3 linked regions of the Xenopus tropicalis genome follow. Each later gene encodes a partner of the first gene's protein in a complex. Links are inferred from orthologs where the notes say so. Each region holds a gene or a part of one and is shown in the gene's direction. Other genes may lie near its edges.

Region 1 (2,885 bases):
TGTTTCTGGACATGGAGGTACTCCTGCTTTTATAAATTTCACGAGTGAACCTAATCCTTATCTATAGTAAAATACCTATAGTAATACTGTATTTGTGAAATGTAATACATTTGATATATATTTTTTAATTAAATTTTTGTTATTGAGCTGATAAATGTGAGAGGCCAGCGCCATGGAATACTATTTGAATAGACTGTAAGAACAAAAGCACTCTGTGTGTATATCCAGTTGCCTATGCTCCTCTGGATTGGAAGTCGGCCTAGAAAACACCCGCTTTTGCGTTTTTCAGGCTGAAATGCTATCCATTCCGCTCTGTGTGCCCGCACTTGGGCAGTTGCCATAGTTTTTAATGCAGGCAGAGGACTATAGGCAAGCAAATCTGCTTCTCTTAGCCTGACTGAAAAATGCAGGGCTGAGAAAAGGGGGATATACACACCGTATGCCCTCGCCCTAAGAATAGGTAAAACTGTCTATTTCCTGGTTCCTGGCCACATCCTCTCTAACCACAGTGCTGGTTGCCTATGCTCCGAAAAGAAGCATGGTTATACATCATTAACATGTGCATTAAGGGGTTAAAACTTTGTTGTTATATTTAATTCTTTTACCTGCCACCAAAAGGGTTAAGCATTTCAATGACATTGCTGTCATATGTTGTATGCCATTGGAACACAATTTGGATATTATGTGTATGATCTTTTTTATTTATTTTTTTTTTGGGTAGACTACAACTCTCTAATGGACAGCAAACATGACAAACTCATGGAGGAAATCATTCTTTTGCAAACACATATCAAAACATCTGATTTAGAGAAACAACAATTAAGAGTAAGTAAATTAAATGTACCATTTTAAAAAATATCCAGATCTTATACAAGTATTTTACACAACATACTGAAGCTGCTCATGTGCCAGCAGCCATTAGCTGCAAACTCAGCCCCTCTTGATCGATTCTTGCATCTTATTGGCCCATGTATGAGGTCAGTCTGAAGGCCTGACTGGCTGTTATCTGGCCAAGAATTGCCCAGATATCTATTGGGCAGATTTGAAAATTGTCATCTGCATTTAGGTAAAGATCTGCTTGTTTGGCAACCTTACCAAACAAGCAGATTTAGTCTAAGCTTAATTGTGTTGTGCCCTGCATAACAAAAGTCTGTTTTTCCCCAACTAGTTGTAGTGTTTAATTAATTAGGCTGCTTAACCCTTTCCCAAAGTGTCATCAGTGCTAGAAACTTAGGAAGGCTATCACGCAGTTCATGCTGTGTTGCTTATCTTGTCCCTGCTCTACAGCATTGGTGGAAACTGTTCCCAGATAGCAATTGTAATTCATTATCCCCCAAGCCAAAGTCAAGTGCTGGTAGTTATTGATTAAATCCTGCTCAGTTCTTATTTTACCTTACTTTTTTTTTTTTTGTTAAAATAGAAACCAAATAAGATGAAAGTCTTGCCTATTTCTTTCTTCATAGCATATGGTTGGAGTAAAGAACATATTTAGCTAACTCACTGCCATTCTTATATTCCTATTTGTTTGCATTTCCTAATGCTATTTCACCTTAGGCTAAAAAATAAAAGTGAGAATTTATTATAAATATGGTAAATATAATAAACTCAAAAGTATTTTCTATTTTACAGGAGGAGATAAAAAACTTGAAAAAAGAGCTACAGAACTTTGACCCTACATTTTTTGAAGAGATAGAAGACTTAAAGTATAACTATAATGAAGAAGTTAAGAAGAATATTATTCTAGAAGAGAAGTTAAAAGCACTTTCTGAGCAGTTTGGGGTTCATATTGATTTTCCAGGAGTTAATGAATAGGATAAACCAATTTTACTTGGTTGTGTTACACAAGACAGTGCTATTTATATACAGTGTGCTATTTAAAGCAGACTACTGGGACTACCCATTACTGCATAACTTGTTTTTGCTTGTAAGTATATATCATTTTCCCCTACTAATGAGGGTACCTACAAAGTATATTGTATTCCAAAATGACATTTCTAGGTCCGTATATTTTCAGACGTTTAAGCACATTGAATAAACTATTAGTAGATAATTCTGAAAAAAATAGCAATTACTTTTTATAGAAGCATTTGGAAAAAAAGCTTTGCACTTGAAGAGGATCTAAAGTAAAAAAAAAATTGAGCGCTCAGAAAAGAAATCGGAGAATTTTTCTTTTATTTACTTTAGACCCTCTAATTTTTTTAAACTGAAATCAAACACATTGCCTTCCAAATTTCAGTTAACTAGTTATTTATGTAAATATGTGTAGATGTATAGAAAAAGGTTTATTTAAGGTCAAATGTTCTGTATTTAGTCTTTTGTGGATGTATTTTTTTTTATAGTTTTTGACTTAAATAAACAGTTATTGAGACTGAAACTGTGTGCTTGAAATCAGTCTCCTTCTATGTGTGCAAATAATGTCTTTTTATTGTTTTTCACAGCTGATTAAATCCAGAATGTATGTTAGATCACATGCTGGTACATGGGTGCTTCTAGAGGCAGGTTAATGCTGCAGCATGGATTAAACCAAGTGCTGGCTATTTGTAAAGGAGATCTTCAAATCCAAATTTTTCATAAGGTAAAAAGGCAATTCTAAATAAAATACATAAGGTTTCAGTAGCTTTAAAGTACAGCCATGAAATCTATGAACATTTAATACACCCAATAGCATTGTTTTGCCTTCAGTTAGGATTCATTATATCTTAGTTGGGATCAAGTAAAAGGTACAGTTTTATTATTACAGAAAAAGAGGAAATCATATGGGAAAGGGCCTTTGCAGAGATTTTTGGATAAAATGTTTCCAGATAATGGATCCCAGACTTGTAGTATGAGGCCAACTCTTCAGCTTACTTTCTGTATAGAAAAATAACGATACAGCAGTAAATCAA
Region 2 (4,169 bases), on another chromosome or scaffold:
ACAGTGCACTCTCTCAAAAGAATGCTCTTTTACAAGGAAATGGGCAGAGACAAATGGAGAGATCTGATAAGAAATGCATACTGAGCATGCAGAATAAATCACTCAATGAGAAAGGGGTAAAATGGGGCAAACAGTTATCTTGTGAAGCAACAGACAGGATCTTTTAAAGACACTAAAATAACAGCATATGTTCCGCAAAAATTGGCTCATTACCAGCTTGTCTTGCAGTAAAGCAGCTTTAGCAATCTTTTATAACAAAAATACTAATGTATTTCTTGCATGAATTGGATCAACGACACCTTTTCAGATAGGGATATCCTAAATAAATTCTTCTGCGTTCATGTATCCAAGTATCTCCCTACTTCTTTTAAAATGTAATTAAATATTTTGGCCACTATGTCTGTCATAAAAGTGAATGCGTTTCGTCTGACGCTGCCATTCAAAGTTTCCAGCATTTTAAAAGCTGGGTTCTTTTTGGTTTAAAGGCTTTACATTTGGGGGTGTGACTACAAAGTGGGAGCAGACAAACGCATTTTCAGCATGGCCATGCTAATTCTCATTACACCCCCCTCAGCCACTAACTTGCTGAACTTTAAATGGACGCTAATATGTCTCTTGTATACGTAATGCCTCAGAACCCGACACGACACGACGCCCTATATCTGTTTAAGCAACGTTCCATTACACTATGTTGTATTATAAATCACAGATTGCAGTATTAATAGCTATCGTTTAATCCCAATACTTCGTCTCCCACAGACTATCAGTCTCGATCAGTTTACACATTTCGCCTACAACAGACGTCACTTCCGCCGGTGAACCAATCAGATCTGCTGTATGCAACGGTTGCACAGCAACAGGCGGAGTCTACCAAAGTGAGAATTAGAAGGGGCAAAAAGCTAAGACAAGGAGCCGGTTTTCAGAGGGGGTCCGGTGAGATTTATGTTGCAGTTGTGCGGTTAGGGGAAGCATTTATAGCGGGATGTAAAAGAGGGCGAAAAATATTTAGAGCTAATAAACTGGTAAAGCGCTTACATCTTACCCTACTGCGGTGTTATATACGCAAAGGTAGATATGATTCGCAGGTTGTCGGTATGGAGTCCTGATGATTTTGCACCATCATCCAAATATGTATCGTCAGTAATTTATATGCTCATAGCACACACAATGGCGCCAGTGTAGGGAGTGTAATGGGGGTATTACGTTTTCCAGCAGCTGATAGTTGACAAACAGAGGCTCTTGGCTGATTCTGTAAGTGTAAGCTGTAGGGCCCTCAGTTTAGGGATTCTATTTGTTGATTCTATAGTGCCTTCACTGTCAGTGTTCTATGTAGTTATGAAATTCACTGTACATGAATAGCCACACTCATGAATTACATTACAGCCCAACTTGTGCAGGTATAAGTAGGTTTTTTTTGCTTGATGTTGGTCATTGACCTGGTTAGTTACATATGTAATACACTATGCGGTAATGACAAATAAAATTATGCTTTCAAATTGGTTTTATTGGATGTGTAATGAACAGTTTGGTTATGACATGCCACGTCTTACAGGGCTTATTGCTGGGGGTTAGCTACATATACTAATAATATACGTAGTAATAACACTGCGCTAAAAGTAGGTAATAAATAAAATGTATATGTAATACTAATGTTCCTTCTAAGCTATGCATTTGTGGATATTTAAATTACGATGTCAGGGCACATGCATTAGAACCGCCCTTTTACATTATTGAGGCCACTAGAAAATAATGGGGGATGTCATATCCTTGAAATGTATTAATCATTATATTTTGGAGGGACCACAAAATAAAAAAACCTAAGTAAGGGATGAAAAATAAAGTTTTACTGTAATAAATTGTGGTGCGCAAAAAGAATTTTGTATGTAAAGGCATAATTTAGAATTTTTTTAGACTTGCGCATAGTTTTTATAAAAGTGCTCAAATAGGTTTAGGAAGTAGGCACAAAAGAAAGTTTTTGCACACACAGCCAAGAAAAAAAGGAAAACTTGGTCACTGAGGCTTGTATATTTATATTGGCGTCAGATGGTATAAGAAGTGTAATTTCTAGCTGTTATTGTTTGTTGGACCTACTTCTAATAAAAATTATAATTTAGTTTCTTCACAATAATGATGTAACTGAAATATATTTTACCTTTCCTCCTACAGTAATGGCAGAGGTTCACATCATAGGGCAAATTATTGGGGCTAGTGGCTTCCCCCAACACAGCCTGTTTTGCAAATGGGGAGTACACACAGGTAAGAGTCATCATTTTGCATTTTAAATGGATCTATATATCAATTGTACATAAAAAAAACACAGTTTTGTTTTTTTGTGGAGCTGTACGCTGTTGAAAATGTGGTATATGCATTCAGTTGGCCCCACTTTTATTCTAGTACAGGTATGGGATTCCTTATACGGAAACCCGTTATCCAGAAAGTTCTGAATTATGGAATGCCCGTCTCCCATAGACTCCATTTTAATCAAATAATTCAGAATTTTAAAACAGATTTCCTTTTTCGCTGTAGTAATAAAACAATACCTTGTAATTGATCCCAACTAAGATATAAATAATCCTTATTGGATGCAAAACAATCCCATAGGGTTTAATTAATGTTTTATTGATTCTTTAGTAGATTTAAGCTATGGAGATCCAAATTACCCTTGGTCCCGAGCATTCTGAATAATGGGTCCTATACCTGTAATATATTTTTAAGTTTGTGATGTGAAGAAGAAATATATGCGTCAGGTGACCCCTGTATTTATTCTAGTAATGTGAAGTGAAGGAGAAGGCTGTGTTTGTATAACTTAAAGCCCATTTTTGGCTTTACTTTACATAAACAATATAAAAGAGTCTTAAAGGAAATGTTAATGTTTTGAGAAAATCTTGATATATAAGATACTGGTGTGGCTCTATCTATTATTAACCATATGATATTTCTATTTGTAATAACATCGTTCCCTACCATAACATTTAGGTGGAGCCTGGAAGCTACTTTCTGGGGTTGTGGAAGGCCAGACACAAGTAGATCATCCACAAAATGATGACATGGCATTCTGGTCTCACCCTATTGACATGCACTTTGCTACTAAAGGATTACAAGGTAAAGTATGATAGAATAAAGAATAAAATAAAGAATCTGTTAAAATTATTGTAATCACATTGGAGCCCCTGCACAGGCTCCCAACCCTAACCCTACCCATTCAAATGAACACACTTTACCTACCAAAGGTGCAAAGTACATTATGTACTTTAAATGCTTGTATTTCCCCCACTTAGGTTGGCCAAAACTTCACCTTCAAGTCTGGCATCAGGACACATTTGGTCGTAATGAACTTTATGGTTACAGCTTCCTCCACATCCCTTCCACCCCTGGTACTCACTCATTGCTTAGCCCAACCTGGCGACCCCTGGGAACATGGCAGGAGCAAATATGTCAGATGTTTGTTGGCGGCGGCCCACAACTTAAGTCATCCAGCCTGATTTATGGAGGGTCTGATCGCTACCGTCTGCAAACAGTGGCCATGGGGCAAGTACATCTCCAATTAACGGTCATACTCAGGAACTTTGAACGATACGGGGTGGAGTGTTCTTGATTTTGCAGAGTGCTAAGAACTTGTTCCTGGTTTTCCAAATGATTATTTTTGGTGCCAAGGACATATGCACTGAAATAATCAGCAAGACATTTTATGGAATTACTTGTGAACACCTCAAACAGAATCCTGCTCAGTATTTAATGAGCCCCTTTTCTCAACCCTTCTTAATAAACCTGATACTTCATATCTCTTCTGTACCATAATCTGGTAACATTTATCCTCCTCCCCTTCTACTAACATCTCTTACACTTTCCCAAATTGTCTGTTACTTCTGATATTAGCCATTTTCCTCATTGTATCACTTTTTTACTATCCTTGCTTTGTTTTCAGCCCTGTTATAAAGCACACTCCCTTTCTCTCCTTTCATTTTCATAATACCTCATTCACATCAATCACTTACCAGAATACATTTATATATAAAGTAAATTGAATGTTTTTGTTTTTAAATACTTTTCAGGCTCTTTTGACGATTATCTTAAATCAGTTATAATGTGAATGTGATTCCAATGTCTCTGCTGTCAGCTGTGCTATATAAACCATGCACAGAAAATTGCCCTGTTTGACATAGGTTAGT
Region 3 (4,336 bases), on another chromosome or scaffold:
AAGGTGGGGATCAAGGTGGGAAAAGGGTGGGATCAAGGTGGGGATCAGGGTGGGGATTAAGAAGGAAACAGGGTGGGAAAAGGGTGGGGATCAGGGTGGGAAAAGGGTGGGATCAGGGTGGGGATCAAGGTGGGGATCAAGAAGGAAACAGGGTGGGAAAAGGGTGGGGATCAGGGTGGGGATCAGGGTGGGGATCAAGAAGGAAACAGGGTGGGAAAAGGGTGGGGATCAGGGTGGGAAAAGGGTGGGATCAGGGTGGGGATCAAGGTGGGGATCAAGAAGGAAACAGGGTGGGAAAAGGGTGGGGATCAGGGTGGGAAAAGGGTGGGGATCAGGGTGGGAAAAGGGTGGGGATCAGGGTGGAAAAAGGGTGGGATCAGGGTGGGATCAAGGTGGGGATCAAGGTGGGGATCAAGAAGGAAACAGGGTGGGAAAAGGGTGGGGATCAGGGTGGGAAAATGGTGGGATCAGGGTGGAAAAAGGGTGGGATCAGGGTGGGATCAAGGTGGGGATCAGGGTGGGAAAAGGGTGGGATCAGGGTGAGGATCAAGGTGGGGATCAAGAAGGAAACAGGGTGGGAAAAGGGTGGGGATCAGGGTGGGAAAATGGTGGGATCAGGGTGGGAAAAGGGTGGGGATCAGGGTGGGGATCAAGGTGGGGATCAAGAAGGAAACAGGGTGGGAAAAGGGTGGGGATCACGGTGGGGATCAGTGACCTGTAACTCCGCCCATGTGTTACTAAAAGTAAATATAAAGGGGAAGTTGACCCTTTATTGGGCTATGGGTTCTATAATGAAGTAACTGTGAGTAACATAATTAGGTGAGTAGCAGTGAGACGAGGAAACCGTGGGTGGGAACATCCGGCTCTTGAAGCGAGGGTCTCGCATCTCAGCCCCAATTAATAACGACTGCGCATCACTACTGAGAGACAGCAGCATCGGCCCCCAACTCTCCCACCCTCGCTCCTCTACTGCCCCCCGTGCAGTCATTAGTGCTCATACTGCCTCTTGTGTTTGGAATAACCTCTTCAGTGTTATAAAGGGTTGTCTCCATCTTGCCCTACTGTCTCCATCTTGCCCTACTGTCTCCATCTTGCCCTACTGTCTCCATCTTGCCCTACTGTCCCCATCTTGCCCTACTGTCTCCATCTTGCCCTACTGTCCCCATCTTGCCCTACTGTCCCCATCTTGCCCTACTGTCCCCATCTTGCCCTACTGTCTCCATCTTGCCCTACTGTCCCCATCTTGCCCTACTGTCCCCATCTTGCCCTACTGTCCCCATCTTGCCCTACTGTCTCCATCTTGCCCTACTGTCTCCCTGGGCAGAGGAGCTAGCAATCTAATTTGGCTGCAGGTACACTCTCCATTGAACAGTTCCCAGAAGCCCAGCCAGTCCCAGTTATTTAGTGGCCCTGAATGTTAGGGGGGAAGGCGCTAGGACCCCGCGGCGCACAGGCGGCTCAGGGGGTCACGTGTTGCGGAGGTTTCCAGGGAGTGACGTCACAGGCGTCCTTAGAGCAGCAAGATGGCGCCCAAAGGTAAGCGGGAGGCGAAGCAGCGGATGGAAGAGCGGCCCCCCTGCTCCCTGTAATGGCGCCTGTAAGCGTGGGGCTACTGTGTCCCCTATGCAAGAGGTGCAGCTGATCAGCGGGACTACAACTCCCAGCATCCCCTGCACCCGATGCCGCTACGCTGTCCCCTTACCTGCTGCATAGGGACCCGCACCGCTAGTGTGCAACTACAACTGGGGGGGGGGGGGGGGGGCTGTTAGACCACAATTCCCGGCATCCCCAGAGAAGCAGCGACTTCTCCCTGTTACCCACAATAGCGCACATTCCCCGGGCAGGTGGGTATATTATGGGCAGGTGGGTATATTATGGGCAGGTAAGTGGGTATATTATGGGCAGGTGGGTATATTATGGGCAGGTGGGTATATTACGGGCAGGCGGGTGGGTATATTACGGGCAGGTATGTGGGTATATTACGGGCAGGCGGGTGGGTATATTACGGGCAGGCGGGTGGGTATATTACGGGCAGGCGGGTGGGAATATTACGGGCAGGCGGGTGGGTATATTACGGGCAGGTATGTGGGTATATTACGGCAGGCGGGTGGGTATATTACGGGCAGGCGGGTGGGTATATTACGGGCAGGCGGGTTGGTATATTACGGGCAGGTATGTGGGTATATTACGGGCAGGCGGGTGGGTATATTACGGGCAGGCGGGTGGGTATATTACGGGCAGGTATGTGGGTATATTACGGGCAGGCAGGTGGGTATATTACGGGCAGGCGGGTGGGTATATTACGGGCAGGCGGGTGGGTATATTACGGGCAGGTATGTGGGTATATTACGGGCAGGCGGGTTGGGGTATATTACGGGCAGGCGGGTGGGTATATTACGGGCAGGCGGGTGGGTAATATTACGGGCAGGGGGTGGGAATATTACGGGCAGCGGTGGGTATATTACGGGCAGGCGGGTGGGTATATTGAGGGCAGGCGGGTGGGTATATTACGGGCAGGCGGGTGGGTATATTACGGGCAGGCGGGTGGGTATATTACGGGCAGGTATGTGGGTATATTATGGGCAGGCGGGTGGGTATATTACGGGCAGGCGGGTGGGAATATTACGGGCAGGCGGGTGGGTATATTATGGGCAGGCGGGTGGGTATATTACGGGCAGGCGGGTGGGAATATTACGGGCAGGCGGGTGGGTATATTATGGGCAGGCAGGTGGGTATATTACGGGCAGGTGGGTATATTACGGGCAGGCAGGTGGGTATATTACGGGCAGGCGGGTGGGAATATTACGGGCAGGCGGGTGGGTATATTACGGGCAGGCGGGTGGATATATTACGGGCAGGCGGGTGGGTATATTACGGGCAGGTATGTGGGTATATTATGGGCACCTACAGGGGGAGACCAAACATGGCTGCTCTGAGTGCTGGGAGGGGCCCCCGGCCCCCACTGGGTCTTCTGCTTGGTATCATGTGACTTGTGCTGCCCCCTAACTGTGCGTTTGCTTCCCAGGGAGAAGGCGCGGAGTTGTATCCTTGGCACTTACATAGGTGAGACGGTACCAAGTCACCTGTACAGGTATAGCCTGGCCCCGCCCACTGCTTCTTATATTCCTTTAACAATTCATGGGGGTACATTACCCCTTATAATACATGAGTGATACTCAGAGTTCCCTGTATAACTCAGCCTGCAGCCTTGTGCCTTTATATGGGGGGCACAGAACCCCTCAGTGACTGCTAATATCCTTATCATTTACAGTAGGGGGTACATTATCCCTTATAATACATGAGTGATACTCAGAGTTCCCTGTATAACTCAGCCTGCAGCCTTGTGCCTTTATATGGGGGGCACAGAACCCCTCAGTGACTGCTAATATCCTTATCATTTACAGTAGGGGGTACATTATCCCTTATAATACATGAGTGATACTCAGAGTTCCCTGTATAACTCAGCCTGCAGCCTTGTGCCTTTATATGGGCACAGAACCCCTCAGTGACTGCTAATATCCTTATCATTTACAGTAGGGGGTACATTATCCCTTATAATACATGAGTGATACTCAGAGTTCCCTGTATAACTCAGCCTGCAGCCTTGTGCCTTTATATGGGGGGCACAGAACCCCTCAGTGACTGCTAATATCCTTATCATTTACAGTAGGGGGTACATTATCCCTTATAATACATGAGTGATACTCAGAGTTCCCTGTATAACTCAGCCTGCAGCCTTGTGCCTTTATATGGGGGGCACAGAACCCCTCAGTGACTGCTAATATCCTTATCATTTACAGTAGGGGGTACATTATCCCTTATAATACATGAGTGATACTCAGAGTTCCCTGTATAACTCAGCCTGCAGCCTTGTGCCTTTATATGGGGGGCACAGAACCCCTCAGTGACTGCTAATATCCTTATCATTTACAGTAGGGGGTACAGTATCCCTATAATACATGAGTGATACTCAGAGTTCCCTGTATAACTCAGCCTGCAGCCTTGTGCCTTTATATGGGGGGCACAGAACCCCTCAGTGACTGCTAATATCCTTATCATTTACAGTAGGGGGTACAGTATCCCTTATAATACATGAGTGATACTCAGAGTTCCCTGTATAACTCAGCCTGCAGCCTTGTGCCTTTATATGGGGGGCACAGAACCCCTCAGTGACTGCTAATATCCTTATCATTTACAGTAGGGGGTACAGTATCCCTATAATACATGAGTGATACTCAGAGTGGGATTACATTACTCGGTACATTGTAGCATGAGTCGCATTATACAGTTTTTCCTGAACACAAGCAGCTCTCTTCCACGCCGCTGGAGGTTCTCT

What was found. Proteins that work in one complex are often made in the same cells at the same time.
Region 2: cep290 (region 1) and b9d2 share a complex: the UniProt entries of both Homo sapiens proteins name them as parts of the tectonic-like complex. The link is inferred for Xenopus tropicalis from reciprocal best matches to the Homo sapiens genes CEP290 and B9D2.
Region 3: cep290 (region 1) and tmem216 share a complex: the UniProt entries of both Homo sapiens proteins name them as parts of the tectonic-like complex. The link is inferred for Xenopus tropicalis from reciprocal best matches to the Homo sapiens genes CEP290 and TMEM216.

The regions. Positions count from the first base shown.
Region 1 is NC_030679.2:54,320,547-54,323,431, reverse strand, and holds the end of cep290 (centrosomal protein of 290 kDa), read left to right. Parts: coding exon 1-17; intron 18-721; coding exon 722-825; intron 826-1,629; coding exon 1,630-1,812; 3' UTR 1,813-2,374; downstream 2,375-2,885. UniProt on the Homo sapiens protein: Involved in early and late steps in cilia formation. Its association with CCP110 is required for inhibition of primary cilia formation by CCP110.
Region 2 is NC_030684.2:79,325,567-79,329,735, reverse strand, and holds the start of b9d2 (B9 domain-containing protein 2), read left to right. Parts: upstream 1-1,280; 5' UTR 1,281-1,351; coding exon 1,352-1,397; intron 1,398-2,166; coding exon 2,167-2,256; intron 2,257-2,976; coding exon 2,977-3,102; intron 3,103-3,278; coding exon 3,279-3,595; 3' UTR 3,596-4,169. UniProt on the Homo sapiens protein: Component of the tectonic-like complex, a complex localized at the transition zone of primary cilia and acting as a barrier that prevents diffusion of transmembrane proteins between the cilia and plasma membranes.
Region 3 is NC_030678.2:178,905,767-178,910,102, forward strand, and holds the start of tmem216 (transmembrane protein 216), read left to right. Parts: upstream 1-1,447; 5' UTR 1,448-1,523; coding exon 1,524-1,536; intron 1,537-3,025; coding exon 3,026-3,042; intron 3,043-4,308; coding exon 4,309-4,336. UniProt on the Homo sapiens protein: Part of the tectonic-like complex which is required for tissue-specific ciliogenesis and may regulate ciliary membrane composition.